Saccharomyces cerevisiae S288C: one gene and its partners. The gene in region 4 interacts genetically with the main gene of each other region. Each region holds a gene or a part of one and is shown on either strand. Other genes may lie near its edges.

The links.
Region 1: mutations in OXA1 (region 4) and MDM38 impair growth when combined (synthetic growth defect), as found in Saccharomyces cerevisiae (one study listed by BioGRID).
Region 2: mutations in OXA1 (region 4) and MBA1 impair growth when combined (synthetic growth defect), as found in Saccharomyces cerevisiae (4 studies listed by BioGRID).
Region 3: of OXA1 (region 4) and USB1, extra expression of one rescues a mutant of the other (dosage rescue), as found in Saccharomyces cerevisiae (one study listed by BioGRID).

Annotation. Positions count from the first base shown.
Region 1 is NC_001147.6:269,489-277,982, forward strand, and holds MDM38 (ribosome-binding protein MDM38), read right to left. Parts: upstream 4,237-8,494; coding exon 2,515-4,236; downstream 1-2,514. Other genes in the region: GAS5 (1,3-beta-glucanosyltransferase), read left to right, coding at 1-153; YOL029C (uncharacterized protein), read right to left, coding at 327-932; YAP7 (Yap7p), read right to left, coding at 1,145-1,882; MIM1 (Mim1p), read right to left, coding at 4,524-4,865; LAG2 (Lag2p), read left to right, coding at 5,469-7,451; YOL024W (uncharacterized protein), read left to right, coding at 7,598-8,116.
Region 2 is NC_001134.8:594,066-601,643, reverse strand, and holds MBA1 (Mba1p), read left to right. Parts: upstream 1-1,684; coding exon 1,685-2,521; downstream 2,522-7,578. Other genes in the region: PCH2 (Pch2p), read right to left, coding at 1-1,091; YBR184W (uncharacterized protein), read right to left, coding at 2,710-4,281; YPC1 (phytoceramidase), read right to left, coding at 4,579-5,529; YBR182C-A (uncharacterized protein), read left to right, coding at 6,089-6,283; SMP1 (Smp1p), read left to right, coding at 6,780-7,578. UniProt on the Saccharomyces cerevisiae protein: Mitochondrial inner membrane-associated mitoribosome receptor that spatially aligns the mitoribosome exit tunnel with the membrane insertion machinery and allows cotranslational protein membrane insertion.
Region 3 is NC_001144.5:402,226-409,918, reverse strand, and holds USB1 (phosphoric diester hydrolase), read left to right. Parts: upstream 1-1,763; coding exon 1,764-2,636; downstream 2,637-7,693. Other genes in the region: bifunctional choline kinase/ethanolamine kinase CKI1, read right to left, coding at 1-1,474; DNA-binding transcription factor ACE2, read left to right, coding at 3,097-5,409; low-affinity Zn(2+) transporter ZRT2, read left to right, coding at 5,857-7,125; snoRNA-binding rRNA-processing protein DIP2, read right to left, coding at 7,431-7,693.
Region 4 is NC_001137.3:471,256-479,482, reverse strand, and holds OXA1 (membrane insertase OXA1), read right to left. Parts: upstream 4,464-8,227; coding exon 3,255-4,463; downstream 1-3,254. Other genes in the region: GTPase-activating protein BEM2, read left to right, coding at 1-3,138; PET122 (Pet122p), read left to right, coding at 4,678-5,442; YER152C (2-aminoadipate transaminase), read left to right, coding at 5,495-6,826; mRNA-binding ubiquitin-specific protease UBP3, read left to right, coding at 7,059-8,227. UniProt on the Saccharomyces cerevisiae protein: Mitochondrial inner membrane insertase that mediates the insertion of both mitochondrion-encoded precursors and nuclear-encoded proteins from the matrix into the inner membrane. Links mitoribosomes with the inner membrane.

The DNA of each region.
Region 1 (8,494 bases), on a different chromosome or scaffold from region 4:
TCCCCTTCTGCTAGCGAAACGAGCTTGCTAAAATCTGCCGCATCTGCTACTTCGTCCAGCCAATCGTCCTCGAAATCAAAGGGTGCTGCCGGAATTATTGAGATTCCTTTGATATTCCGTGCTTTGGCAGAACTTTATAACTTGGTTTTATGAGTTTTCACCCCCGTTCTTTACCACATTGTTTCTAATTATTCCGTTAGCGCCGCTTACTTTTAATGTTCTTAAGATAAAAAAACATCATTAATATTATTATTAAAAAATTCATATATATACCTATATCTATATGCACTATTTATGCTTCCACTTTTCTTTTCTTTCTAAATACATCATTCCAAGACGTTTTTGTCCATCTTATGTAATGCATCCTTGATGCTTTGCAATTCTACTTTCTGTCCACGAACGTGCAATCCAGATGCAATGTTCTCTAACGCTGATGAGATCGAAGTTGAATCCTCAGGATTTAGTTGTTCTTGGATACTTTTATTTTTTTGCATATGTTGACGGATTTTTTGATATGTGTAACTGATCGGCAGATACCTCTTTGCATCGGAAGCCGCATTCATTTGTGCATTCTTGCAGGAACATATTTCGGGTAGCTTGATTGAATTGTAATTTACGTCAGTTTGTTGTTCATTTAGATCCGGTGACAACGCACTGTTGGAAGAGAAAGAGCTTGAACTACATTTATTCGAAAGTGATTGACAAAAATTCCTACTATGGGGGTCTGATCTACATTGCTTGCAGCTTCCAGGTATCCATGACCCATCCTCTTTAGTGATCGGTCTATTCTCGCTATCGTAGATTTCTTTGTCTCCACAGCATTTCGATATTGATTTCTTAGCATCGGATTCTATTTTCTTTTCTGAACAGCAAACGGGGACTAAGGATGGCATTATGTTATTCTTTTGGTTGCAACATGTTACTGGTTTCATGGCATCTTTATTCCTACAACATTTTATTTTTTTGTTGCCACTGCCTGCACATGCATTGATACTGCTGCTGCATGAAGACAGAGGTGAATTAATATGGCCATCAAGCGATGAATTCGTTGAACTAAACTGTCTGCCGCTCAGATATTGATAATCGTTGGCTATATCAATCTCAGACAAAGACTGGTCTGTTAATACCGCGGGCACATGAGATGTTAACAATGGGCCTTCAGCTTTCCTTTTTTTAAACTGACAGCGCCGATTGGTTTAAAGTTTTCTACCATTTCTAATATCGAAATAGGATTGTCTGGCGGGTTTTCTGGCTGCTGTTGAAATGGAGTATTAACAATCAAAGGCAAGGCTTTTTGCAATTCGTTGTTTAATGCTATTGATTTTTGCAAGTTTTCCTTTGTATCGGAAAACTCAGATTCCAGCAGTTTATATTTCCTTTGCCAATCATCGACCAAATTGTGTAGCATCTCAACCTTCTCTTCCAGAACCTGGATTCTTGTTGTTCTGCGTTCCCTATATGCTCTTTGCGCATCTCTATTTTGCCTCCTTCGCTTTTCCACGCTATCGACACCGTTTTCATCACCACTTCCGTTGCCTTCATCATCAGATTTCCCCTCATGACCTTTTGCGCCTTCGTTCTCATGATCTTTTGTGGTCATTTGGTCTTTCTGGTTGGAAGTTTGAACCTTCTTTATCTTGGACGATCCATCATTATTAGCTGATGCATCCCCGCGCTTGGATTTCGGTTTGCGGCCCGGTTTTAGGCGCTGTGGTAACTCCCAATTCTTGGATAACTTAATAGCTGACGGTCCTGATGTACTCACATTTCCATCTGGTGAGGATGGAGGTGGAGACGTCGTAGACATGGAACCCTGTTTATGCCCCAATTTGAAGCCTTTGGGCTTTACGCTAACTGCTACTACAGACCTTCGTTGTCTCATGATCCATTGAAAGTGTGCGTAAATGACAAAATTTTGTGCCTTTCTATATTCTTTAATTGATGATTTACTTCCTTGATAACGGCTCAACAAACGAAGAGCAATTTTCAAATTTCAAAAGAAAAAACCGTTGAAACTGTTCTTGAGCAACTTTCAAGCCTCTTATGATGATGTGCTACAGATTGAAGTACAGGTGAAAAGAGGAATAACCAATAGCCTTGTTTGCTTTCTACGGTGGGGCAGCGGATTTTCTCTTTTATGCTTATGCTTCTTCTTCCATATATTACTAATTTTTCTCGAGCGAGCAGCTTTACTGCGTGCATTACCGATGAAAAAAATCGCCGATATATGAAAATCCAGCTCATAAGATGCTGATTAAGGAGTCATGAGTGAAAGGACCCTCGTGGCCATCACAAAAAAGACACTTTGCTCCTGTATAAAAAAAAAAATAAGGCGGTAGTTTAGATAGGGTGTCTATTATATACATGCATAATAATTTAGTTTTGAAGGGTCGCTGGTTTTGCCGTGACGTACGCTTCTCTTTGATCTTTTGCCATTGTTGTCAGAGAAAAGAGAACCGATTGACTTTTTTTTTTTAGTTTTTTTTAGTTTTTTTCTTAGGCTTTGATCTAATATCAATCTTTCTTAATGACAAAAGTCTTCGCAGCTTGATCGGCCGGAATGGGAGGTACAGATTTTGCTTCTTCCTCTTCATCTAGGTTGATATCATCTGGCACATGCTCTCTCGAAGCTCTTTGCTTAGCTTCCTCTTCCTCCTTCTTTATTAGTTCTTCTTGCTCCTTCAAAACGTTCAATTTGAACTCGTTATCGTCGGATGTCTTCTTTTCTTCAGCTTCCGTGGCTTCCGCAGAGTCGGTAGGCTCTGCGTTCTCTTTTTCCTGAGATATTTCCTCTGTCTTCGCTGTTTCTGCCTTTTCATTAACTACGACTAGTTTAGGAGTAACCGCAGAAGCGGTGGTAGCTATAACAGACTCTTTTGCGGTGGCTTCTTCCTTCGGTATAGCAGTTTCCTCGGGTTTTTCTTCCGTCTTTATCTTCTTTTCAGCAACTTGCTTTTCAGCTTCAGTTTCAGCAGCGGATGATTTCGATTCAGATACATCTAGTTTTGCGACGTTGTAAACGGGATCTGGAATGGAACTTAGCACTTGTAATATACCGTCGTAGTACAGATCCAAAAGGTCGTCATATTTGCTTTTTGTTTCTTTTTTTTCAGCTAGTGGCGAGAATGCCTTTGAATAGTTCTCCTTTGGAAGTCCTCCAAACGTGAACGTGGAACTCAAAACCATCAAGACGGATGGGATTTTTTGTCTCAGTCTCAATTCTAGCCAAACTTTTAGATTATCGACCAAGTCCTCCTTGGATACACCGTACGCTTTCATACCACGAGACACACAAGCTTGATACAGCTCTTCTTGCGATAAACTTTCAACGCCTTCGTAGTCAATAGTTTTATCGTCGTTCATTATATCCTTTAGTTTGGAACGAATTTGGTAACGAAGCATGTTATCGTTACCAAATGGCCTTAGTGACATAAACTTCGACATTGCTGCCAATTGTGGTCTTGACAAGTTATCCAAAACGCTATCGTTTTTGAACATTTGCGCAATGGCGCTTATTTCATCGTGTTGGAAAGTCATAATCTTACCTTCCTTGGCAGAATAAAGCTTCCGGAAAAAATTCAAAAATTTTTGCTTCTTCTCTGCATTTTCAATGGTGTTGTAAGTGATCAAATTGGATTCTTCCAAAGTCTCATGCAAGAATTCGGATGTCTTTTTTCTGATCTCGATGAGCTTATTTCTCTTGGCTTGCTTATCCTTGCCGGATTCGTAAGTGGAGGGTAGTAAGTTGGGGAAGAGTTTCAAAGCGAAAGGCAAAAATAGTTCGGCGAATGGAATAATAAGGAACGCTGAAAAAGGGATCAACCTAAACACATCGCCCATTGTCCTCCTCAATTGGTTCCTCTCTCTTCTAGACAACTCGTAACCCTGAGCAAATTTAATCAAAAGCTTAGTAGAAACTTTGATTTCGTAACCCAAAAGTTTCGTCCCATTAGCATAATGTTTCAAGGCGTGCTTCACTTTGACCATAAGCGTCTCCTTGGGCTTGGCAGGAGCATCGGTGGATGTTGGAGCTACGGGCTTCGTAACACTTTTCGACTTATCAGTAGAATAAAATCTCAAAGATAAAGGATAGTTGGGCTGTACTCCTTGCGCTCTCAAAGGCCAATGACACGAGGGAATAGTGGAAGCTATTAATCTAGGGCCTTGATTTTTAACAAAATACAAGCTTGCTTGACGTCTTGTCACACATGACGCTCTTGATGCGAAATTCAACATCTTAGTATATTATCTGTAGTGATAGAGATAGCGTATATTATGCGCTGCCTGAAATGCACTGCGCTGTTCATATTCATCACCGTGGCAATGACTGATCCATTTATTTGGAGATGATTCAACGAATAATTTTTCACCGCGGGATTATCGCCCAAGACGGGGTCGTTTGAGGGTAATACCGTGGCTAGCTTTATGGCTTGTGAAACTATTGCCAGTTATGTGGTTACGTATAATCTACCGTATGTGTGTGTGTATTTATTTATGTAGGTTGCTAATGCTTTGGTGATCGTTTAAAGGAACTTGGACGCAACCCTCCCACGGGTGCCAGGGCTTGAAATCTCTTTCAATGCTGCTATTTTGCGCGACTCTGGGTACACCTTATACCCCTTGTTTCTATGGTTAAACCAATTGAATCTCCAGCAGAGCTCGTGAGCAAATAGCTCGCCGAAGCCGAGCATCATGCCGTTGAGGAAGGGCAAAAGTAGGTTGATGGAGCACGAGCCTACAAAGGATACAAGGCTCTGCACAAGTGGGCTCTCGTCGGCACTCACTGTGTTCTGCACCTCCATACAGTCTTTGTCTTCTGATTCGTCATCTGACACGCTCTCCCAGAATCCCACAACCTCTGTCATATTTCTGTCTTGTGGCAGTTTCGTAAGAAGGGGGGTGATGTTTCTAATATTACAGTGATGTTCTATTGTTCAAGTAAAGTGTATGGCTGTTTCTTATGGCGCGGAATATACCACTTCGTTATAAGTGATTACATCTCGTAACGCATTCCTCTTGTTCAGTGGTAGGGGAGGCCGATGGTAGTGGAATAATACGCTTTTATGGGCCATTGGTATTACTATTTATCTTCGTTATAATAAATAGTACACGTTGCAGACATATTTGGAGGAGAGTTTTTAAAGTACTGTTGGGGTGCTCTTGCTGTGCATTGTAAGTAATCGTGTCCCAGTGGCCGAGTGGTTAAGGCGATGCCCTGCTATTTCCTCAGAAAAGCAATTAGGCATTGGGTTTTACCTGCGCAGGTTCGAATCCTGTCTGTGACGCATTTCTTTTTTGTGAATTCTTGCTTCTTATCCTTCTACAATCCTTTCGTGACATTTATTGAATCATCTCTACAAAATTTTTACACATAGCTAAGGTTAGCTTGTTCTACATTACACAAGTGGTAGCAAAATCGTTTACATTGCACTCAGCTATATCAACATCACGTTCTACCGCAACTAGTAATGAGCTTGCACATTAGTAAACTGATTGAGCAATATCGTTCCACTAAGGACAATGACCTTAAATATATGCTTTTAAGGCAAAACTTTAAAATTAACGACATAGAGGATGAGCTGGCTCCTCTTGTTAACGAATTGCTGCTCCCGGTATTGGTCGAAGAACAAGACATGGAAATTCTCAACCTAGTATCGTTTCAAGTGCTCCCCGATTTAGTTCTTTCTATGATCAGCGACCCTGCAGCTGCTCAGTTGGGATGGGTAATAAGCTTGATATGCGACCCTTTATTAAACCAAAGCATGATACATGCAAATCGTTCTTTTGTTCTGATTGAGACACTAAGAAATGTGTTACAAAAAATTGAAAACTCCCCTCATTTAGATTACCACCAACCAGTAAACAGTTCATTAGAGTTTATCTCCAAATTTATTGTTGAAATGAAAAGGCATATGTGTGATGTGGATGCTGCGCAGCTTTCACATTCACTTTCTGAAAGCAATATGCTAATTTACATAGAATCCCTTAATCTATTGCTAAAATTTAGCTTCTTTTCAGACGCGGCAAGTCCTTCAGTAATGGTCACACTGCCCTTTGATATTTTGAATGACGTTTTTACAATTGCGCAGGACTATTCTGCTACGAATACAAATGAAAGCATTGATAGGATCACAGAAAAATTACTTTTGACTTCTACGCAATTAACTCATCCGGTGGACCTGGAAAATTTATGCCCCAAAATGAAGTACAATACTTTAGCAGCAGTTTCTCGAATATGGTACAAATTTGGCCCCATAGTCGATAAATTATTTACTAACCGGCTATTACCGGTTCTATTCCCCCCGCAAATGGGAGAAGAATGTAACGTCGAAGATGTTCTCGAAATAGTTCATAACTTCCATCCATATTTTTCTATTCGTAGGCTAAAGGATAATAGGCCTCTATTGTCAGATTCGACTATTAGCCAGCTAAGAGAGGGTTTGTTTGGTATGCTCAGCATATTAAACGACTCGCTGACAAGGACGCAAAATGAAAACGACCATGGTAGCGACAATCTGATCGACAGTGACGACGGATTTGGCTCAGACAACGATCCTGAACAACAAGCGTACCTCGATGAACTCGTATCAGAAGGTTATGACGAAAACATGTATGACGGTGATACGGATGACGAAGACGCAGATGATATAAACGTTGAAAAAAATGATGAAGCCACCAAAGACATTACAGAAACGAACAAAATCCTTTTAATCTTTTCTGAGTTACATTATCCTCAGGAGGAGCGCTTCTCTGAACTGTTGGTTGAGTTGCAGACTAAGATCGCTATAAACACATCCTTAATTGATAAAATTCTTTCAAAAGAGACAACAGAATTACCCACTCACAATGGGGAAATCGCAGATTTGAACGAAATTCTAAATGAAGTGAAAGGCAATAAACCAATTAGAAAAAACGTTATTTTTTGTACGTTAGCGCATACTTTGTCGTTGCAATCCGGTTCCGAATTGTCTGTTCTACAGCTATCAATAGAGGTTATTGATCATCTGCTGGTTAAAAATCATTCAAATAACATCACTCGTGGCGAGCAATTTCAATTGATTAAGTTGATATTACCCCATCTAAAAACAAATAAATCTTTTATTGATACATTAAAAGCAGGAAATTTTACCCAAAAAATTGATGAAGGAGTGACCTTAAGAACAATGATTCTTTCTCTACTACTACAACTATTCCCACTGGATTACTCTATGCTAGGTGAGATTTTACCCACTATTGCGCGATATTCTGTAAGGGATAAGGATCTTGGGGTGAGAGATCTGTCCTTCCAATTGCTGGACCAAATTCTACGCACATACTATAATTACCTAATTGGTATCGATTGGGAATGGTATAAAGATGACTTCTATCAAGTTTTGCAAGAAACTTGTATTAAAAAAGACATAAATACCAACCTCTTGCTACAATTTCCTCCTTATCTCCCTCATGACTAGATAGTTTTATACCAAATACATCATGCATCTTTTTTTTTTCCTTATAGTTTGTGTCATCAACATGTTTTTGCCCGTATTAATACACAATAATCTATCCTCTCAGGCAGGGAGAAGAAAACTAAATATACATAGCACCCTCACACAGGATGTCAAAACTATCGTCTTATCCTCATGCCGCCGATTTTATAAATATGGAAGAACCGCCAAAATCTAAAGAGTTTTTCGATGATCTTTGTGCCGTCCCTAATTTACTCAAAAGACGTTTTCCAAACTCTCGAAGATCGACGCATTATTGTGAGGCTTTAAATTATTCTAGGAAAAAGCTTCCTGTTGTGTTGTCTAAAATGACACTGCAAGAGTTGAGGCACAATATGTCAACATTTTTTTTGCAGGAAAAGGATCAAATAAATATTTATGACACCTGTAAGGTGATAGACATGGGGGACCGTGTCTTGCTCGAAACTATGCCTCCACAGCCAAGAGATTTATTTGAAAAATTGCATGCAAGTAAAACAAATTTAGTAGTTCAGACAGCAGCTTTGGATGAACCCCTACTTACAGTAAAAGCAGAGCTACAGTCATCTTCCTTTCCACAAAAATCAAGCCTATTTCTGTATGAGGATTATAAAAAATTTATTTATCAACAACTAGATATGTTTAGTTAATTACTTACGAAAAGAGAGGCTATTGTTTATTGTTGGCCATTTTATTTATTATTATTTTTTTCCACCTTAGCATAAGGAAACACGATTTGGATTTCAAAAGTAGAGCTTTAATAACAAAAGATAAACAACCACAGTGTCAAGAACGGTTACAACGAGAAGGATAGGCTGATGATTTATCAAACATCTTCTTATTGGTTCCTAGTAATTTCCCTATTTTTGAGCAACAAAATGTCGGGATAATATTCTCATAATACTCAAACACTCTTAATATCATATATATATATATACAGTCATTTTTTGTTATTCGTTACCCGAACTTCTTTATTATTATAACCAGGGAACATCAATAACGAGCTACAATAATCATGTTCATCTCCC
Region 2 (7,578 bases), on a different chromosome or scaffold from region 4:
CATTTAGAAAAGATGCGTGCACAAGACAATTCTATTATTATCCCCTTATAATTAGTATCAATGGTATCGGAACCGTCTGAAAATTCCCGCCTCACAGATAATTTTTGGCAAAGTGCTTTGCATAACGTTGTTTTACCTGTTCCCGGAGGACCATGGACAAGGAGTAATTTATTATTTGTGATTAGCGTTGTAATGTCTTCTTGATTGGAGTCTCCAGTTTGTTTGAATCTTGCTATCTTGAGAGATATAGTTGCGTAGCTATATAACCTTTCTTTAATATTGTTACCAAAATACAACGATTCCCATTGGCCCTCGAAAGTTGTGCCTGGAAGATATGATATATTTACTAAGTTTAGTGTTTGCTTACTTAGTGGAATGTCAAAATTTCCCACCGAATTGATACAATTGTTTAAAGTTTCTCCCTCAAAACCATCATCCTCGTCTAGTTCTAAGTCAATCTTGTCGAACTCTGTGGACAGTATGCTGCCATTTTTCAGCTCATCTTGCTCTTCCAGACAGCAAAAGGGATATATAATGAACTCGTCAACAGATCCCATGTGATAAGTGTCCGACTCGTTGGTCTCCTCTGAATCTAAAATAGAATCTATGTGCTGACCCAAATTTATTTTCTCATGAAAGTTCAATTTAATAGAGACGTGTGATGTGGACTGTTGCTCTATAGAAATTTTTTTAACGAATAAGGATAGAAACAAATTATCTTGTCCTTCATTTACTGTGTTAACTTTGCCATTTATGCTTGAAAACTGGTGTAATAAAACTTTTGCTAGGCTTCTAATCAAATGTTGTTGCGCCTCCGTTGGTGGATCCTTAATTTCAATACTTCCTTGCCCCTCTCTCATTAATTCTTGGCCAGTTATAATCGAAGTCTTTAAACGGTCTTTTGGGAAACTTTCCAACTTCCTCTTGACCACTGCTTTTAACAGATTCAAAAATTCTCCCAGCTTTTTGTTGCTGTTTTGTTTCGAGTCAGAACCAGAATGTAGAGAAGAAATTTGCTCATCCTCTCTAAACATACATTTGATAACCCTCAGAGATGATCCTCGCACTTGTAGGTCAACTATGTAGCTCATATCCTTATTTTATGTCTTCAGTTTGAGATCAGAATATTTTTATGAAAATGTTGTCACTCTCTTTTAACCGCCTCGCATTTCGTAGATTTGCCGCCCACCTTATTGTCAACGGCAAATCTAAGGATATATATACATATATATATATTTTTGAGAAAGATTATATTTTCGCCAACGATGAAAAAGAGAAAAGTACAGTACTATGTATTATGTGTTTTTCAACTCAAGAGAGGGGCAAACATATAACTGGTGCTATATATGATTAAGGCTGCGCTCAAATATACTTCTTACTTAATTGACTGAACAATACGTTGATAAGATGAAGGAAGAGTCTCAGATATTGGTTTCACAAAAAATTCAGAGAATGGAGTCATTTCGGTTACGGGCAATCTTTCGGTGATTGGTACGGAGTATCGCGATCTTTACACGTTCCACTAGTCAATCCAATCCAATTTATTCATTTGTCCGTAAATATTCTGCCGGCCTTCTCCCCATATTACAAAATAAAAAAATAAAACCTGAGTAATGGAATAGTTGGAAAAGCAAGGCAAATTTCCATCAGAAAGCAAGCCTATCCATTCAGCTAAGCTTATGAGATGAGTGTATTAAGATCTACATGCCTTTTCTTCCCTCCAAGATCCTTGTTGATATCATTTAACAAGCGGCGATTATTTTCAACTTCGAGGTTAATTTTGAATAAAGAAAGTGAAACTACAAAGAAGAAAGATAAAAGTAAGCAGCAAGATTTTAATCCTCGGCACCTGGGTGTTGCTGCCGAAATATTTATCCCCTCGGCTTACAAGAACCTTCCAAATGTATTTGCTCATCCTCTCATTGTTGCAAATGCATTGATCAGAAGACTTTACACGTTTGGTTTGAACTCTGTTCAAGTCGCATTGTTTCGTTTTCAATCAGGCATTAAACCTTCTTTTTTACTCTGGAAAAACAAAGCCATAGAGACGTATATCAATGTAAACACGTCATTTGCTCATAAAAATTTGTCGGACATCAAAGGGTTAGTTTCATTATGGGTTCAGGAAGCTCTCGAGGCTAGGTCCCGTCAACTTCCAGGTAATGCAACACTGGACTGGCAGTTGATAAAGTTTAATGCAGTTCCTAAACTAGTCTCAGTGCAACCAATCATGATTCCCGGAATGCCGTTAGAGCATTTACAGTTGGTTTACAAATTTGATACGAAGCAAAGACTAATTAAAGTCAATCAGCAAACTAAGAAGACTGAGACGTTAGACCGTGACGTTGTAGACTATATTGCCTTTTTGTGTGATGCTACAACTAATGATATGATTTTAATGGGATCTTTGTTTGAAAGTAAACCAAATGATAAATTACCGAAAAGCTACGAGGACGATGCTAAAGTTGCCATACACAGAATGAAAGTTAACGGTGATATATATCGTTTACCTCCAAGCTAAGGCAATATGTATATAAATGCGAAAAGTTTTGGAACATCTGTAAATAGCCATTGCTTCATTTGAGTTTCTTATTCCACATACCACTTACATATTCAGTAAAAACTATTCATTTGTTTTTCATTCTGAAGTATATATATTAAATTTATTAAATAGTTTTTCATGAAAAAAGTTATTGAAGCATCTCCCTTTCAATAGTGCATTAACTCTCCCATTCTAACCCATCTTTCCGTTGAATCGTCATAGAACAATGTTTCTGACAGATTGGTTTTCCTATAACGATCTTTGCAGCACAATCTGTGAAATAATTTCCATAAGCCGGTAAGAATAGTCCTGTTATAGCTGATACTACCTTGTACATAATTCATATCACTGAGCTTTGCTTCATCTTTTAGAGGCTGAGACTTCTCAAAACCTTCTGCGCTATCCAAACGATAGGTGCTGATTTCTTTTAATGCCAATGAATTATTAGAACACTTCCTACATTTAAGAACAACCTCTTCCTCGGACCTTCTCTTTCTATTTTCTGTATCAAAAGAACTGTCTTTTTCAATTGCTGCTGTGTTGTGAGGAATAGATCGATAAAGTACTTTTTTTTGCCCTGTTCGAATAACAAAAAGAAATAATGTCAATTCATTTGCACTGTAACAGTAATCAGCGCTAAAACCCTTAGGATGATATCGATGATTTGAAAGTATAATTGTGAAGCCACTATATATATCACGCAGTAGCGTAAACTGTGCTGCTTCGGACTTCAAAAGTTGAATAGCGTATCGTGTGCATTCCCAAATATTATCGACAACGTTTGGATAGAGAATAAAGGATGTGTATACGGTTATTTCATGATGGGGTAGAAAACTGAGTGTAGAAGAAATATTTGCAATACAATTCGATTTAACTTGAAGTTGATAATTAAAATTGCTGAAGAAAACTCCGCTATTACAATTTTCAGAGGTGACTATTAAGTCATTTCTCTTCATTTGTAAAAGTGAGAATAATCGTAATATTTGCTTACAGTAAGGAAGACGTATCGCATTAGGTATCTTATCTTCTGAATTGTAATCATATCCGGAAACTTTTTTGGTTCCTCTTACTGCTGCAAATAGAGACGAATCTGAAATATCTCCCTCTTGTACGTCTTTTTTGGGTAAATCAATATTTCCCTGAATTTCTTGGACTTTAGAACATGAAAGATTTTTCCGTTTGCGATTTTTATTGCGTCTGCTAGCAATCTTCTCTATAAGTGCACATATGTCTTCATTGGGGATTTGGGACCAATTCTGATTTTCTATATCGGTATTTTGATTCTCATTTGTTGGGAAATACTTCGTCTTTTGTAATGGGGCAGATTGCCTTCTAGTTTTATTTTTTTTATCTGCTATGTCTTCTAAAATTTTACAAATTCTGCTCGTACTGAGTTGAGACCAATCGTGCCCTTTCTCAACATGGACGTTTTCCTTCTTGAGACATGGGATAGTTTTCATTGATAGTTCCATTTTGTTTTCACTTGCGCTCGTTTTGGCATGTTGAATGGCATCCGCCAGCATTCTTGCTTTTGGGTAATAAGGACAAATATCCATTATATCCAAATCTTCCTTTTCCTCATAGCCTGTAAAATTATTAGGTTCGGATACTGTGTGCTCTATGTTGTTATTAAATGTTATTATTGGTCTTTTGTGGTTTCTTAATATTGTTCCACTATCGTATTGAAAGTTTGATTTTTCAGAAGCCAAAATAGCATTCAATACATTATTTTGGTACATGTCCCGAATTAGCTAACAAATTTCTTAGTATTTGTGTTACAACAATTAGAGATTTTGTTTTGTTTATTTACTTTCATCAATTCACGTTATTTTGCCGCCGACGGCTTTGAGACCGCACAAAGTTTTTTTTCACCAGAGCAATAAGCTGGGTCATTTAAACTATTCGCAAATCAAGGATTCAAAAGATCTTTTCTTAGATATATTTTCTTCGTGATTCGTCATTAAATAGAACATGAAATAAAAAAAATAAAAAATAAATATGCCTATACATTATGAATATATATTATGCTATAATTATTACTTCTCCTTTTTAACTTCAATTGATTGATCTTCTACGTATGGGCCAAATAGTTCAAGTGAATATCTTGTTGAGGGTTTGCGCCCTTTCCATATCAGTTCAGGGAAGACTTTCCATCTCCAGATGAACTGGTAATTGCAGCTGACGTTGAGCGTAATGACCCTTAAATGTTCCAAAGAAACAATGTAGAAATAAATCCCCATACCAGTTAATATATGCCACCATCCGTGTGGTTCAAGCAGTACACCAAGTGGTAAAGCCAAAATACTTCTTCTAACGTGCACCCAGAACGAACAATAGTGTATATCAAGTAGCCACGAAATGTAGCCAGATAAGAACAAAATTGCGCCGAGCGCCATTGAAGCCTTGAGATTTCTTTTGGCAAGTGGATCATGGACGTATCTGTACGTCAAACTTCCTGCAGTAGCAGCCACAACTACAATCTGTACGCCAAACAAAATTTGATGGATATCGACATTTTTGTAAATAACGTAGAGTATGCTTGCTGTTGTAACGGCCAGGCCGATAATTACGCCGATGAATATCTGTTCAAATAGAGGAACCTTCTTGTGATTATCTCCGTTAAGTAATGCCTCTTTGGCCTCGCATACTAAACTCCATGTCGGAATGCACATGGCGTATATCATTGGAAGTTCATCCAATAGTTGGAATCTATACTTCAGTGTCATATGAAATAGCCATGATCCTACTCCGACCAAACCGTACCCGAAGCCAATAAGTAAAAACCTTTTTTCTAATTTATTCTTGTAAGCAGAGTAAGTTGTGTAAATCGCTGACAGTATGAATACGCTGTTAGTTAAAGTGTTTGACCACTCGGCAATATAGGGAGAAACGACATAGTTCTCCTCACACCAGTCAATAGTGGAAGTTGTTTCTCCCCAAACGCCGGGGACAGAACTCTCTGGATAGTTCCAACGAAATATTCCCATCAATCTTCTATTTTCTTAAATAAAGATTTCTGCTTTTATTTACAAATTAATCTCTGTAAGTATCGGACCTTATAAAAACCCCTTACACAATAACTATATAGATGTATATAGGATATATAGATATATATATGCAAATATCTTTTTCCTATAAGCGATAAAAATAAAATGCTACCCGAATTCTATTTAGACATATATAACCGGAGACAGATATTTTTTATGTCATGGGGTAGAGTAGTGCGTTTGAAAGTATCAAACAAAAAGTTTCAGGGGCCGGATCTAATCGGCATAAATATTTTCCGATGTCTCGCGTTAAAAAACTTGCGTGATAATCCGTCCGCACTAGTGGGATCGAAAGAAGGGGCGTGGTCAGAAGGGTAACGTTATGTGAAACCCTTGCCTTTGAATCTTTCCTGCTATGCTACGTCGGCCGACACTTCCATTTGAAAAAAATATAAACGATGGTGTTGCCAAGTATTTTTTTTCGCCTTCGTTTAACGTCAGCATTACTAAAAAGGTTAATGGTTGGCGATACTAACTAAAAAGAATTTGTAGAAATGCCATGAAGATTTTCACGCTGTATACCATGATTCAGCAATACTTTTTTGATAATGGCGGTGTTTATAGTATAAAGAATTTTTATTCTGCAGTTCCGAAGGAGAAAATGAACATAATTCTTGTTTCACTTGATTGTGAGCTCCAAAAGCTTGCTCTTAAGCTGTCAAAGAAAACTAGTGGCACTCACACTACGCACTAGCTTTTACACCACATCGTTATTGTTTTCCATTAACGCTTACGTAAATTTCATCTATCATTCTACCTGTACCGTTCCCGATGATAGTGGCTTACAAAACGGCTTGAGGTACAGTTGGTTCGAACTTTTTGCATTATTGTTGCCTTCTTTTTTTAGTAACAAGCGGCGTCTTTGTTTCTTCTGCAAAAATAATCTCGCTCGAGTAATTGGAGGCTTGGCAAAACTTAAATCTCCACGCATACCCGGCTTCCTATGTTCGTGAAGGACTCAAAAACATGAACTATCCTTATCCATCTTTCTTTTGCCAAATTATTTTAGCCAATCTATATAACACTACATCATTCCTTTGAGTCTTTCTTTATCATTCATTCGAAGGGAGAAATATACGAGCCAAATTCAAAGACAGACTATTTTTTCGAGCAGGCCTATCTCATCAGAAAAAAATTTAATAAAGCTCTAGATAAGCAAACACAATTATTTTCAAAAAAATTTCTGCTAAATGGGTAGAAGAAAAATTGAAATTGAACCTATCAAAGATGATAGAAATCGTACAGTTACTTTCATAAAGCGAAAAGCAGGACTATTTAAAAAGGCTCATGAATTGTCAGTACTTTGCCAAGTAGACATTGCTGTCATTATTTTAGGATCCAATAATACATTCTACGAATACTCTTCTGTTGATATGAGTAACCTGCTTAATGTTCATCAAAACAACACTGATCTTCCTCATAATATCATAGAACCATCTGATTATGGTGACTATGTGAAAAAACCACGTGTTGTTCTGAATGAAAGGAAGCGCAGGCGAAGAAGAGCAACCGTGTTGCAACCAGCTTCCCATTCTGGGAGTTGTACAGTTTCGAGTCAAGATTCCTCCAGTGTACAAAACAATGGGAATTTAAGCGCTCCGTTGGCGTCAAATGACGCCGGGAACGCTGGTGTAAGTACACCATTGGTGCATTGCCACGGAGCAATATCACGTAGCGGATCCAATCATTCTGACTGTGCAAGAAATAGTGCAGATTATCAAATGTTGCAAGGCGGTTTAAATTCTGGTGGGAGTTTTCATGCTAATGATTATAAAGAAAGCGTAGACCAACAGCATGTTGCAAACGAGGCTATTCATAGGAATTTTATGAACAAGAGGATTAGGCCGGATACTCATTTACTACTTTCTGAATCTAACCACTCTAATTATCATAATTTTTACCCGTCGCCTTACGAGAATTTGCCAAAGCCTTCATTGCCTGCAAGTTTAGTGGGCAATATTCCATCCTTTCAATCGCAATTTGTACAGG
Region 3 (7,693 bases), on a different chromosome or scaffold from region 4:
TCTCTAATTTACCACTTTGTAGGATGGCCCAGAGCGACCAAAATAGTTGTACAGTGGGTCTCCATTGAATGATTGACTTATAGAGTCTTTGAACCTCTTCATCTATGGGTTCCTTAGCACCACCCCTTAGATGCGAAACATAAGAGTATAAGAAATTCAAAACCTGTTCTTTATCGGGATATCTATCAGCGTGGCACTGATGTGGGGCCTTAGCATTGTTGTAATCATACATCCACTCGGAAAGATGATTCGCTAAATCATATGCGGCGGGATTGGCACCTGCATATTCAAAATCAATGACGACCAATTTGGAATCTTGGCTTTGCTCCTGCTTTGGCGGGTTGATTATATCATCTACAATGACATTGGAGCTCGAAGGAAATAAGGAACTTGATTGGGAAGTCAATGATGTAGACGAAGGTGCAGTGTATAGGCTCGGTGTGTTCATCACAGGAGCAGTGAAAAGTAAATTGCCGTATTGGGCATCATTATGGCAGAATATAAGATTTTTGTTGACTTGCTCTATACCCTGTTCTTGAGAAATAAGCCACTTGTGATATCTATCGACAATATCCATAAACTTGGACCAATTCTCACATAATAAAGAGTTTTCAATGTTTTTAGGATCCCCCACCCATTGGTCGACTTTCTCAATCGTGCGCAACCACTGGTTAATCTTTTGCCAACAAGCCGACCCGTTCTTCCTTTCTGAACTCAAGAGAGGAACACCTACATGTAACTCCTTCATTCTCCTTGCAATCCTTTGAGAGTTCTTCCAGTTTCTAATGTCGTCTTTTGTTAAAGTCTTAGAATTCTCCAGAAACTGCTCAAATCTACCGTTTACAAAACAGCCGTAAAGGGAAGGACCTATATTTTTCAATGAAAGCCTAGCCAAAATCTGCAATTCATATTCCCTGTCAATGATATTATCAATATTCGGTCCGTATATTCTCAATAGCAACGATGGTAACTTAGGGTATTCAACTTTGAAAATTGCGTTTGTCATCGCACCAGAGATCTTGACTAAGTTCATATCTTGTGCTACCGGTTGGATTTTCTTGTTGTTATACCATTTGGATATCTTCAAACTCTGAATGAGATTTAATATGTCCTGCTTCAGATAATCCGAAGGTAAACTTGCATCCAATGTTTCCTTAACAAAGGGAATCTCAATATATTCCGACGAAGTCGAACCCAAACTATCTGTGACATCAGTTGCTGATGCTCTTCTTGGTCCCTTATTTGCGGTTTCAGAGACGTCCAGTTGCACACCCGCTACTCCCTCATTGACAGCTCTCAAATCGTCATCGTCAGTAATATTAGACACATCAGACTCGATACTGATGGTTCTAATCAGTCTTTGCGAGGAACGTTGGCGTGTTAACGAATGTCTTCTTTGAGAACTCGATCTGGACCTTGCTTGGTAACCGACCGAGTAACTTCTTACACTCCCTGGACGTGATTCTTGTACCATCTTTTGCTCTAATTTTACGTGCGTATCTATGTGTGTGTATTCTATAAGAGTACAAAAAAAAACTGTATATTGTTGTCCTAATTCTATAACTTTTCCATTTGGCTTATCCTTACTTACAGCCACAGAGCTTCTATTCTGTCTCTTCGAGATTTAACCGGCTGGGCCGACAAGAAAAACGGTAGAGCACCATGTGAATATTATACCATAAAGAACAAAGAACAAGAGAACGATCTGTTGGTGGTGTTCTAAAGTGAAGGAGGTTACCAATCGCTTAGAAGAAGACTGGCCTATGGAATTCATATCTGCAGACTATTCTAGCAGTGACGGTAGTGATACCGAGAGCGAAAGTAGTAACAAAAGTGAGGTCCAAATCGAATACACGGAGAAAACTTGCATACAGAAAGCCGATTCCACTGATTTACCTGCAATACCGGATTCAATTATATTGAAGTACCACATCCCTCCGAATTTACAAAAGTACGAGCACCAGGATATGAATATGAGTCGATTTTGGCGTTCGTTCACATATTTTGAGTGGCGTCCGACTCCAGCGATTCACCGACAACTTCAGAAAATCATATGTAAATATAAAGAAACATTTATGAAACAGGAATACACTAATCCGTATCAACTGGTGGATTTTGACCCGTTGTTCATCTCACACTTGGGAGCCCCCAAACCTTTACACGTTTCCTTAACTCGATCGTTGTTGTTTGAAACTGAAGAACAAAGACATGTTTTCATTCAAGAAATGCGTAATGGTTTACGAAATAATGAAATAACCCCTTTTAAACTTCAAATCTGCTCATATCCGAAGTTATATATATCAGAACGAGCCAACACCTTGTACCTCGGTCTCCCTGTCTCAGAATGTCCCAATAAGGCACAAATTTCTCCTTTCAAAACGATAATAGCTGAGGCACTTCAGAAATCAGGCATTTCAAACTATCAGGATTTAATTGTAAGTAGGCAAAATTTACATGTTTCAATTGCCATCGCTAGCAACCCTTCAAAAGCCACATTAAAACGTTATCAACAATTAAACGAGACGATGGGGGCGCTTTTACTACTCAATAATGACTTTGCATACAAACTAGAGTTCTTAGTTAACTCTATCTATTGTGATGAAAACCGTCACTCCATTAGAATCCCTTTTAACTAATAGTGTTATAGGAATAGCCGCCCAAAAATACCGGGGCACTGAGAGCGGCTCGTCAGATAGGTGAAGGTTGTCATAATATACGATATATATCTCAAAACGGCAAAATGTAAACATTGGCACTTTGGGAAAATTTCAGGACACTTTTGGTTTACAGGTAAAGGATAAGGATGCTTGTAGCTAGTAAATCAACTCCAGAAAGCATTTAGCCATTAACGGGCAAATATTAAGGAGGGAGTACTGTTTGTTTACTCGCAATATTTCTGTCCCTTTTCTTTCATTAAGGGTTTTATAGTACACATAAACTTATAACAACCTCTCTCGGCATTGTACCTAGCAAACAAAAGCTACGTTGCAGGGAGACTCAAGCAACAGTTAAAGTGCTAGAAGAAAAAAATACAAGGCATAAATTCAAGAAATAACTAAAGAAATCTATAGGACCAAAAACGGTGTTAATACAATCATGGATAACGTTGTAGATCCGTGGTATATAAATCCCTCAGGCTTCGCGAAAGACACTCAAGATGAGGAGTATGTTCAACATCATGATAATGTCAATCCTACCATACCCCCACCCGACAATTATATTTTGAATAATGAAAACGATGATGGCCTCGATAACTTGTTAGGTATGGACTACTATAACATCGATGACCTGTTGACTCAAGAGTTAAGAGATCTGGATATTCCTTTAGTGCCTTCTCCTAAGACGGGCGATGGTTCTTCTGATAAAAAGAATATTGATAGAACTTGGAACCTTGGTGATGAAAACAACAAAGTCTCCCACTATAGCAAAAAATCAATGTCCTCACACAAGAGAGGTCTAAGTGGCACAGCGATATTTGGATTTCTCGGCCATAATAAGACATTGAGTATTTCCAGTTTACAGCAATCCATTCTAAATATGTCTAAAGATCCGCAACCCATGGAACTCATAAATGAATTGGGTAATCATAATACGGTAAAAAATAACAATGATGACTTTGACCATATAAGGGAAAATGATGGTGAAAATAGCTATTTGAGCCAAGTTTTGTTGAAACAGCAGGAGGAGTTAAGAATTGCTCTTGAAAAACAAAAGGAAGTGAACGAAAAATTGGAGAAGCAGTTGAGAGACAATCAAATACAGCAAGAAAAGTTGCGTAAAGTATTAGAAGAGCAAGAAGAGGTGGCGCAGAAGTTGGTTTCTGGGGCTACAAATTCTAATTCCAAACCTGGATCTCCAGTAATACTAAAGACACCTGCCATGCAAAACGGTAGAATGAAAGATAATGCTATAATCGTCACAACGAACTCTGCAAATGGCGGATATCAATTTCCTCCTCCGACGTTAATATCGCCTCGGATGTCAAATACTTCAATAAATGGTTCACCATCCAGGAAATACCATAGGCAACGATATCCAAATAAAAGCCCAGAAAGTAATGGATTGAACCTTTTTTCCTCTAACAGTGGTTATTTGAGAGATTCTGAACTGCTTTCATTTTCTCCACAAAATTATAATTTAAACTTGGACGGCTTGACTTATAATGACCATAATAACACCAGTGATAAAAACAATAATGATAAAAAAAATAGTACTGGTGATAACATATTCCGTCTGTTCGAAAAGACTTCCCCGGGTGGGCTAAGTATCTCTCCAAGGATAAATGGAAATAGTTTGAGATCGCCCTTCCTCGTCGGCACAGATAAAAGCAGGGATGATCGATATGCTGCTGGCACGTTCACGCCTAGAACACAGTTGTCACCTATCCACAAGAAAAGGGAATCCGTAGTTTCCACGGTCTCGACAATATCACAACTGCAGGATGACACTGAACCCATCCACATGCGAAATACCCAGAACCCAACATTAAGAAATGCAAACGCTTTAGCGTCATCAAGTGTACTACCTCCTATTCCTGGTTCCAGCAATAACACTCCAATTAAGAATTCTTTGCCACAAAAACATGTATTTCAACATACTCCCGTCAAAGCTCCACCAAAGAACGGAAGTAACCTAGCTCCGCTTCTAAATGCACCGGATTTAACAGATCATCAGTTAGAAATTAAGACACCCATACGAAATAACAGTCACTGTGAAGTGGAAAGCTATCCGCAAGTACCACCTGTCACACATGATATTCACAAAAGCCCCACTTTGCATAGTACGTCTCCTTTACCAGATGAAATAATACCTAGGACTACGCCAATGAAAATAACCAAGAAACCAACTACTCTGCCTCCGGGTACCATTGACCAGTACGTCAAGGAACTACCCGACAAACTATTCGAGTGCTTATACCCTAACTGTAACAAAGTATTCAAGCGTAGATACAACATAAGGTCGCATATTCAGACACATTTGCAAGATAGACCGTATTCATGCGACTTTCCCGGTTGCACCAAGGCGTTTGTTCGCAATCATGATTTAATAAGACACAAAATCTCCCATAATGCCAAGAAATACATCTGCCCATGCGGAAAGAGATTTAATAGGGAGGATGCTCTAATGGTGCATAGAAGTCGGATGATTTGCACCGGCGGTAAGAAATTAGAACATTCGATCAACAAGAAACTTACATCTCCCAAAAAAAGCCTGCTTGACAGCCCGCATGACACAAGTCCCGTAAAAGAAACTATCGCCCGGGATAAAGATGGGAGCGTCCTAATGAAAATGGAGGAACAGCTGCGAGATGATATGCGCAAACATGGATTACTGGATCCACCCCCATCCACAGCAGCGCACGAGCAAAACTCGAACCGCACCCTTTCAAACGAAACTGATGCTCTCTGACGAACATTTATCTATGCATGATATTAACATAATAAATAATAGTAACAATAATATAATACATTTATTTCTTTACGATTTACGTACACTGTAGTCTTAAGGGCCAAAAAAGGCAATAGTCATCGTTTATAGGGACATAACCCTAAAGGTTATATGCGACTCCTTCTCGAAAATGAAAATTTTTCACAACCTTTAGGGTACATTGCCCTTTAACTACTACAAACCAGCTTCACACATCCTTTGGTAAAACACAGTGTGACGATTTTAAATGACGCAACCTTTTGGGAGACACGATCTAAAACCCACTATATATGATGATACTGTTTATTGAATCATACACCCTGTTGGTTAGACCGGAAGAAAGCTAAAGTTGATCTCCGAAAATACAACGGTGCATCAACCAAAGAAAACATTGCAGGCGTTTCCAAGTGACACTGCATATTCGAAAGTATGGTTGATCTTATAGCGAGGGATGACTCCGTAGATACTTGCCAAGCTTCTAACGGCTACAATGGGCACGCAGGTCTTAGAATTCTGGCAGTATTCATTATACTGATATCGTCAGGATTGGGAGTTTATTTCCCAATTTTGTCATCACGGTATTCGTTTATAAGGCTACCAAATTGGTGCTTTTTCATAGCGAAGTTCTTCGGTTCTGGTGTCATTGTTGCCACAGCGTTCGTTCATCTTCTACAGCCCGCAGCCGAAGCTCTGGGAGATGAATGTCTTGGTGGCACATTTGCCGAATATCCATGGGCTTTTGGGATCTGTTTAATGTCGCTTTTCTTACTTTTCTTCACTGAAATCATCACGCATTATTTTGTAGCGAAAACGCTGGGACACGATCATGGGGACCATGGGGAAGTTACCAGTATTGATGTTGATGCTCCCAGTTCGGGATTTGTCATCAGAAATATGGACTCGGATCCTGTATCTTTCAATAACGAAGCTGCCTACTCCATCCATAATGACAAAACTCCGTACACTACTAGAAATGAAGAGATTGTCGCTACTCCTATAAAGGAAAAAGAACCCGGCTCAAATGTTACTAATTATGATCTGGAACCGGGAAAAACAGAGTCACTAGCTAATGAACTAGTTCCAACCAGTTCCCATGCGACAAATCTCGCTTCTGTACCTGGAAAAGATCATTATTCTCACGAAAATGACCATCAAGATGTCTCCCAGTTGGCCACACGTATCGAGGAGGAAGATAAAGAGCAGTATCTCAATCAGATACTAGCTGTTTTTATTCTAGAATTTGGCATCATCTTTCACTCTGTATTTGTGGGTCTTTCGCTATCTGTCGCGGGTGAAGAATTCGAAACCTTATTTATCGTTTTAACTTTCCACCAAATGTTCGAAGGTTTGGGTCTAGGCACAAGAGTTGCCGAAACGAATTGGCCAGAAAGTAAGAAGTACATGCCTTGGTTAATGGGATTAGCCTTCACTTTAACGTCACCCATAGCAGTCGCGGTAGGTATTGGTGTCAGACACTCTTGGATACCTGGCTCTAGAAGAGCATTAATTGCTAATGGTGTTTTTGACTCGATATCATCAGGAATTCTTATTTATACTGGACTAGTCGAATTAATGGCTCATGAATTCTTATACTCTAATCAATTCAAAGGACCTGATGGCCTCAAAAAAATGCTTAGTGCATATCTCATCATGTGTTGTGGAGCTGCTTTAATGGCTCTTCTAGGGAAATGGGCATAGTATCTCACGTATATTTTGTTAGATTAGATAGTTATTCATTATCAAAAAAAAAAAAATGCATGACCTATAATTTTACAACTGCTCTGCAGAGACGAGAGACATCTCGCAAAAAACAGCATATGTCAGCGACCAATAAGTATAAAAAACACATATTCCGTTATTTGGATATGCCCATTATTACCGAAGGGCAATCGGAATGACAATTTTTATGATTGGAATTGTATAATATACAGATAATTTAATCTATCCTTTTGAAGTGTGAAAAGGGCAGAGTAATGCCGGTATTATGTAGGATAATAGTTTTATTATATAACGGTCCCGAAAACTCTCTTCCTTGCACTATTACTCTCTTTCTCCTGTTGGTCATATTCGTCAACGAATTCGTAGTTATGCCTTAGATTCCATTGTTGCTTGACGAATTTCAACCCTTGAACATTAAAGCCTAGATCATCCTCGGTAGATTTTAATGCACTTCTTAATTCAGTCTTTACTCTATTTATTTGCAATTTCAATTCTTCATTTTTCTGAGAAACCAATTCTTTATGATTAAATTTGATAATGAAAAATA
Region 4 (8,227 bases):
TCTACCAGAGGGCTTTCCGATGATAACATAGGACTACTAGATTATGCATTCGTTAAACTAACTATGGACAATGATATTTTCACAGAAACATTCTTCAACACTTATAAAAGCTTTACTACTACAACTACGGTATTAGAAAATATGGCAAAACGGTATGTTGGTGCAAAGAGTTGCAGCGTGTCAATTTCCAAGATTTTAGATCGCAGTGATGATTCTAAAATGAAGATAAATGAGGATACAAATTTAGTGTCCTCTTCATTATACGACCAAAATTTTCCTGTTTGGGATATGAAAGTAACTGACGATGAAAACATAAACCTTATTTATATGGCAAAAATCCAAATCGGCGCCGCGGAAGCTATACTACATTTAGTGAAAAATCATTACTCTGACTTTACTGACGATTTATGTAACAACTCTACTCTATTGGATATTATAAAAATAATGGAACAAGAAGTATCCACTGAATGGCCTACGCGAATTGCAAACTCAAAGTTACAAAAAAGCCTACCAGAAAATTTTGTGATTGAAACAGAAAATTTGTTGACTACGTTAACTGATCTATTTCATGGTATTAAATCAGCATACCAAAAGCAACTATACAGACCTATTGGTGTCAATAGAACTCAGAAGAGAATAACTGACATTTTGAATTCCTTTAACACATTCTCTTTTACAGATCTTAACAACATCATTGATGATCCTTCCTTTAGCGATGACATGATTAGATCTTTTCAAAAGTTACACTCAACCAATTACGAAGATATACTAGAATGGATCTACCAGTTAGATAACTTTATTTCTAAGAAGTTCAATTTAGTTTCTAAGAAAGATTGGATAGTTCTTTTCCAGGAGTTGGAATTGCTTTCAAAGGAATCTCTGGTCTCTTTTTTCAATTATCCGCTACATTTTAAGTCAAGCAAATTGATAAACCCCGGATATTTGCAATTGCACGAGTTTGAAATTTCCAATCTTTTTACTTGGATTTCTACATTGATTCTTAAGGATGATAATGGTACGGAGAGTCTTTTTTTTGAAAAACTACCACAATCTATAAAATTGTTAATAAAGTTACACACGAGTCTAACTACGTTTTTCGTGATGGAAATTTCAAACGTCAACAAAAGCAGTAGTGAAAGGTTAACTACTTGTAAAGTTATATTACAAATTTTGAACTACATCCGCTGGAAAAACGGAAGTTTGGATTTATTTGATTCAGAGGAGGATGAAAGTCCTCATGCTATTTGTCCACACATTCCAGCTTTTATTGAAACTGCTATTGCGCATGCCATAATATCACCAGAGTCTAGAAACTATGAACTTTCGTGGATCAAAGCTTCTGAAAAACTTTCGGACCCTACTAAAGGAACCCAAAATCTAAGATCGATTAGTAACGTTTTAGAGAAGATAGATGACATACATATAAAGAGATTCATTGAGATTGATGATGTATTCAGCAAAAACTGCAAGAATTTATGCCCCTGCCCTGGTTGGTTCATTTCAAGGTTACTAGAAATATCTCAGTTTGTCCCTAACATGAGTATCACTAATTCGAAACTTATTAATTTTGACAAAAGGAGATTTGTTAACAACATAATATCTAATGTCTTGGATTTAATTCCGAACGAAAGGGAGTTTCCACTTGATATTGAAATGAGTGACGAAAATCCTTCGAAAAGAACTACATTTGGCCGCATTCTGTTCAATAATTTTGAAGATGTTAATAAAGTATACAGAAAGAAGACTAAAAAAGTATCAGAATCAGAAGCCATATCGGAGAGATTTCAAGAGCAGGGAGTATTTAATGAAATACTAGTCAATGAAATTGAAAAAATAAAGAGGGAAGCCAGAAAATTAGAGGTTTTACTCGATCAAGAAAAGATCTTGAAGAACTCTGCTGCTTTACATCAGGCCGTTCCGAAAAAGAATAGGAAGTCTGTTATTATCTCAGGTACTCATAGTGACAACGATCATAGCTATAATATCAATAAGAACACCGGTCAAACGCCTTCTCTAGGTAGTGTTATGGAAAGCAATAATTCAGCAAGGAATAGAAGAGATTCAAGGGCCTCCTTTTCCACAAATAGATCATCAGTAGTGTCAAATTCCAGCCATAATGGTGTTAGTAAAAAAATAGGTGGATTTTTCAGAAGACCATTTTCAATCGGTGGATTCAACACATCCAGTTCTAATTATTCACTCAACAGTATATTATCGCAAGAAGTTTCAAGTAACAAATCCATTCTACCAAGTATACTTCCAGAGGTTGATTCCATGCAACTACACGACTTAAAACCTAGTTATAGTTTGAAGACCTTTGAAATCAAGTCAATAATGGAAATAATCAATCACAGAAACATTCCGGCTTACTACTATGCGTTCAAGATAGTTATGCAAAATGGCCATGAATATCTGATTCAAACGGCTAGTTCTAGTGACCTCACAGAATGGATAAAAATGATCAAGGCTTCCAAGAGATTTTCATTCCATTCGAAAAAATATAAAGGTAAAACTCATAATAAGATATTTGGGGTACCATTAGAAGACGTTTGTGAAAGAGAGAATACCTTGATACCTACAATTGTTGTGAAATTGCTGGAAGAGATTGAGCTGCGTGGGCTAGATGAAGTGGGATTGTACAGAATTCCTGGTTCCATCGGCAGTATAAATGCACTAAAGAACGCATTTGACGAAGAAGGTGCAACAGATAATTCCTTTACATTAGAGGACGATAGATGGTTTGAAGTGAATGCGATCGCAGGCTGTTTTAAGATGTATTTAAGAGAGTTACCAGATTCTTTATTTTCTCATGCTATGGTGAACGACTTTACCGATTTGGCGATTAAGTATAAAGCACATGCAATGGTAAATGAAGAATACAAGAGAATGATGAATGAGTTACTCCAAAAGTTACCTACATGCTATTACCAAACTTTGAAAAGAATTGTATTTCATTTGAATAAAGTACATCAGCATGTTGTAAATAATAAAATGGACGCATCAAACTTGGCTATTGTATTTTCCATGAGTTTTATAAACCAAGAAGACTTAGCCAACAGCATGGGGTCCAGATTAGGTGCAGTTCAGACAATCCTGCAAGATTTTATTAAGAATCCAAATGATTATTTCAAGCAATAAACAATTTTCGTGGTAAATGTATACAATCCACTGCTGAGAGAGAAAAAATTTGGTCCCGCCTATCGAGGGTTTGAGTTTTATATTTTTATATTTACAGAGAGATATAGAGCCTTTATTCATTTTTTGTTATTAATGAAGTTTGATTTGTGAACAATTTTGATTTTGGAATTCTGCCTCTTCTCCTTGAAGCTTTCTTGTAACTTCTTCTCATTATCTTGCATCAATTGCCTTCTTTCCGCCTGATCTCTTGCCTTTTGAATGTTATGTTTTAATGATTGGAAGATGCCCATGTTCTCTGTGGGGGAAGCGCCAGCGATAGGAGTCCTTGGTTTAGCTACTTCTGTTATCTTCAGTTTCGAACGAACCCATTTGTTTCTCAAAATCATTGTCTGTAGGACGGAGAAGGCACCATTAAAGGCAAAGTAGAGGACCACAGCGGACGATAAGTTCATTGTGGCCGGTATAGAAATGATCGGTAGAATAGTGAAAAGACGCTTCATGGGAGAACTGAATTGTTGAGCACCAGTCTCACCCCCCAGCCTTGTAAATGAGATGAACACAGCGGCAGTGATTACTTGCAAACCTAAGTAAGGGTCTGCTTGAGTCAAGTCTGTAAACCAAGCGACACCTTGATTAGCGAACCCATCTACTGGGTAGTTAGCCATGTGTCTCAATGCGTTGAAAAACCCAAGGGCGATTGGAATTTGTAGCATGGGTGCGGCCAGCCATCTGTTCTTAATGCCGTGCGAGGAGAGCAGTTTTTTCCTTTGCATGGCGACTAGCTGACCTTGTTGCAAATCTGTAGTGGACATTAGCTTATTATTCAAGGCGTCCAGCTCGGGCTTGATATGGGAATTTCTAGCAACAGTATCAGAGGACTTGACATAGAGGGGAAACATCAGGCATCGAATGAGGATGGTGGTGGCCGCGATAGTTCCCCACCAAGGCAACCCAGAGTAAACATGAACGGCCTCCAAGACGTGTTGGATAATGTCCGAGGGCCAGTACCAGGTTTGGGCCAGGCCAATGCTATTTAAGTACCCTATATGGGAGGACAACTCGCCCACTGTTTGGGTCGTGTTAGCGATAAGGTCCGAAGTAGAAGCGGAAAGAGAAGGAGCTGAAGAGGTTAATTCATCGATGGAAGGCAACTGGGTTTGGATTTCCGAGACATCGTTGGCATTTGGGCCCGTCGAATTAAATCTTTTGGCCTGAAAAGAGATCCATGACGGATGGGGCCGGGGCAATACTATGGTTCGAGCGGTGGCCAGTCTGGAAGAGGCAGCAAACCTTGACGTGACGAGTCGAGAGGTGAGTTTGAACATCGTCGGGGAGGTTATTCTGTGGCTCCGCTTGTACGTGAACAGATACGTATAGAGGGCGAGCCACTGGTTAAATTTTTCATGGCTCGGATTACTTCCGTACTGCTGGCTAAAATCGAAATCTCGGCCTGCTGAGAGTGTTTTGAGCAATCAAGGGAACATCTGAACGTGGAAGAGCAGACGAGGCATTAGCTCGAACATAAGAACGGAACACGTCATGTTGACTATCACGAAAAGACTGGTGACCACCGATGTGCGGTCGCGAATACTGTTAAGCAGTTTAAACGGGAAAATGTCCGATGCACTGGCGCTGCTGCGTCAGCAGCAGCAGACCAGCGTGGATGTGGAGCTGCTGCACACGATGCTAGCGCGAGCCGCTGCGCTTGCCCATGCCGACACTATAGCATACATGTGGTATCAGCATGTGATGCCACGCCGGTTGCCAGTAGAGGGCCGCCTGCTATGTGAAATGGCTGGCGTAGCATTGTACCAGGACAGGCTCTTCTTACCCGCGCAGTTCCTCCAGCACTACCAGGCGATGAATCGCGATCGTCGCACCAGCCCAGAAGATGAACTGATTGAGTATGAGCTTAGACGGATTAAAGTCGAAGCGTTTGCGCGTGGCACAATGCACTCCACGGCGCTCAGGGAAAAGTGGAAGGTATTCTTGCAGGAGATGGATACGCTACCAGGGCAGCCGCCATTAAGGCTGCGCGACTTCCCGCAAATGACCAAGGCTATGGGCATAGCATTGATGCAGCAAGATGAGCAAGCAGCTGCCCTGGCGTTGTTTGGACGACAGCCCCTAGTGATAAAGAACGAATGGTCACTACCGCTACTACTGGCTGGTGTCCTTTGGCATGTTCCCGGCCCAGCGCAGGCGCGACGTGTGCTGGCGGAGTTCCGTCAAAGTTATCGCGGGCTGCCGCTGCTGGATGCCGAACTAGTGATAAAGAGAAGAGGATTTGAAATCAACACATAAATCTGGGTGGAGCATCGCTGTAACAAGGAACAACGCGTGCTAGCAAGCGGTAATGAAATACAAGGAAATCAATTTCTTCAAGGGCCATCCGAGCTCGAGGTTGCTGCCTCGAGAAGCAGTAATTCAAGCGACTGCGGCTATATTGGGGCCCGAGACCAGGGAGTACGATAACGACCCCTATAACAGGCATCCGCTGACGTACGGTTCGGACGAAGGTGCCCTGTGGGTGCGAGAGCAGATTTGTACGTTTCTGAATGATCAGCTGTTTAAGTTCGAAAATGGGGCTCGGAGCAGGACACGGGCAGACTATTTGAATCTGAATAGCGGCGCTTCGTATGGCATGCTGAACATCCTTCTGCAAACAACCTTGCCACATAACGGGTATACCAGGCAGGCGTTCATCATCACGCCAACATATTTCTTGATCAACAATTGCTTCACAGATGCGGGATTCAAGGGGAAAATGACCGCCATCAACGAGCAGGGCCACGACTCGATTGATTTCGAGTCGTTGATTTCTGCCCTTGAGCAGCACGAGGCGGAGCCGCAGCCCCATAGTACCACAGAGATGATTCAGGGGCCAAAGTTGACCAAGAAGGTCTACAGGTACGTTATGTACTGCATCCCGACGTTTGCAAACCCATCGGGAAACACATACTCGCTTGAGACCAGACGCAGACTTATCGACATCGCTCGGAAGTACGACATGCTGATAATCACTGATGACGTGTACGATATTCTAGATTACACGACGCCCTCAGATGAGCTGCCCTCTCCGCCCCTAAGGATGGTGCACATAGACAGAAGTACAGCGCCCTCCGGTGAGGACTCGTTCGGGAATACAGTGTCCAACGCAACTTTCTCCAAGCTGATCGCCCCTGGGCTCAGATTTGGATACCATGAGTCAATCAACGCGAATCTCGCCAGACAGCTATCTAAAGGTGGTGCAAACGTCTCTGGCGGAACTCCCTCACAACTGAACTCCATGATCGTGGGTGAGATGCTGCGTAGTGGTGCCGCCCAGAGATGCATTGCACATCTGAGATCCGTATACTCCGAGAGGGCCACTGTCTTGACCTCGGCGCTTAAGAAATACATGCCCCTAGGAACCGAGATTATGCCATTGAAGGGCGGCTATTTTACTTGGATCACTCTCCCACCAGCGTACAATGCCATGGAGATATCCACTATTCTTGCCAAGAAATTTAATGTCATCCTTGCCGACGGCTCCAATTTCGAGGTCATCGGCGATGAGAAAAACTGGGGTCAGTCATGCTTTAGGCTTTCTATTAGTTTCTTAGAAGTTGATGATATCGACAGGGGCATTGAGCTGTTTGGTGCTGTTTGCAAATCTCATGCGATCACCAATAACATAACTATGTAGAAGGAATACGTATATAGGTGAACGGTAATAAGAGGGTAATTTTTCTACGGGCAAAGGCAAGGAAGAAAAAGAAAAAGAAGGAAAAAAATATAATGTGATAAAACAAACAAGCAGCGAAAAAGCGAAAGGGAAGAGAAGTGTTTCTAGAGAAGAAAGTCATTTTAATAGTAAGTCAGACTCGTCTGCTACCATCATCCAGGTACCGCTTTCCTTTCCATCATCATTAAAAAAAATGAACATGCAAGACGCTAACAAAGAAGAGTCGTACTCGATGTACCCGAAAACCTCTTCTCCACCACCACCTACGCCAACCAATATGCAGATTCCTATTTATCAAGCGCCTTTGCAGATGTACGGCTACACTCAGGCCCCATATCTATACCCCACACAAATACCTGCCTATTCGTTTAATATGGTCAACCAAAACCAGCCAATCTACCATCAAAGTGGCAGCCCACATCACTTGCCTCCGCAAAACAATATTAACGGCGGAAGCACTACCAATAACAACAACATTAACAAGAAGAAGTGGCACTCTAATGGCATTACCAATAACAATGGAAGCAGCGGTAATCAAGGCGCCAACTCTAGCGGTAGCGGCATGAGCTACAACAAATCCCACACCTACCATCACAATTACTCTAACAATCATATCCCCATGATGGCCTCTCCAAACAGTGGCAGCAATGCGGGCATGAAAAAACAGACCAACTCTTCCAACGGCAACGGTTCTTCGGCTACTTCACCATCGTACTCTTCCTACAACTCTTCTTCACAGTATGATTTATACAAGTTTGATGTCACTAAATTAAAGAATCTCAAGGAAAATTCATCAAACTTGATTCAATTGCCACTGTTCATAAACACTACGGAAGCAGAATTTGCTGCGGCAAGTGTCCAAAGGTACGAATTAAACATGAAGGCTTTGAACCTAAACTCTGAAAGCTTAGAGAACTCATCTGTAGAAAAGAGCTCTGCCCATCATCACACAAAAAGCCATAGTATACCAAAGCATAATGAGGAAGTAAAGACAGAAACACATGGGGAAGAAGAAGATGCTCATGATAAAAAACCACATGCGAGCAAAGATGCGCACGAGCTTAAAAAGAAAACTGAAGTAAAGAAAGAGGATGCTAAGCAAGACCGTAACGAAAAAGTTATACAGGAACCTCAAGCTACTGTTTTACCTGTAGTGGATAAGAAGGAACCAGAGGAATCTGTTGAAGAAAATACTTCCAAGACATCTTCACCTTCACCATCTCCTCCAGCAGCAAAATCCTGGTCCGCCATAGCATCAGATGCGATTAAAAGTAGACAAGCTAGTAACAAAACAGTCTCCGGATCGATGGTCACTAAAACACCAATTTCTGGTACGACCGCAGGCGTTTCATCAACAAACAT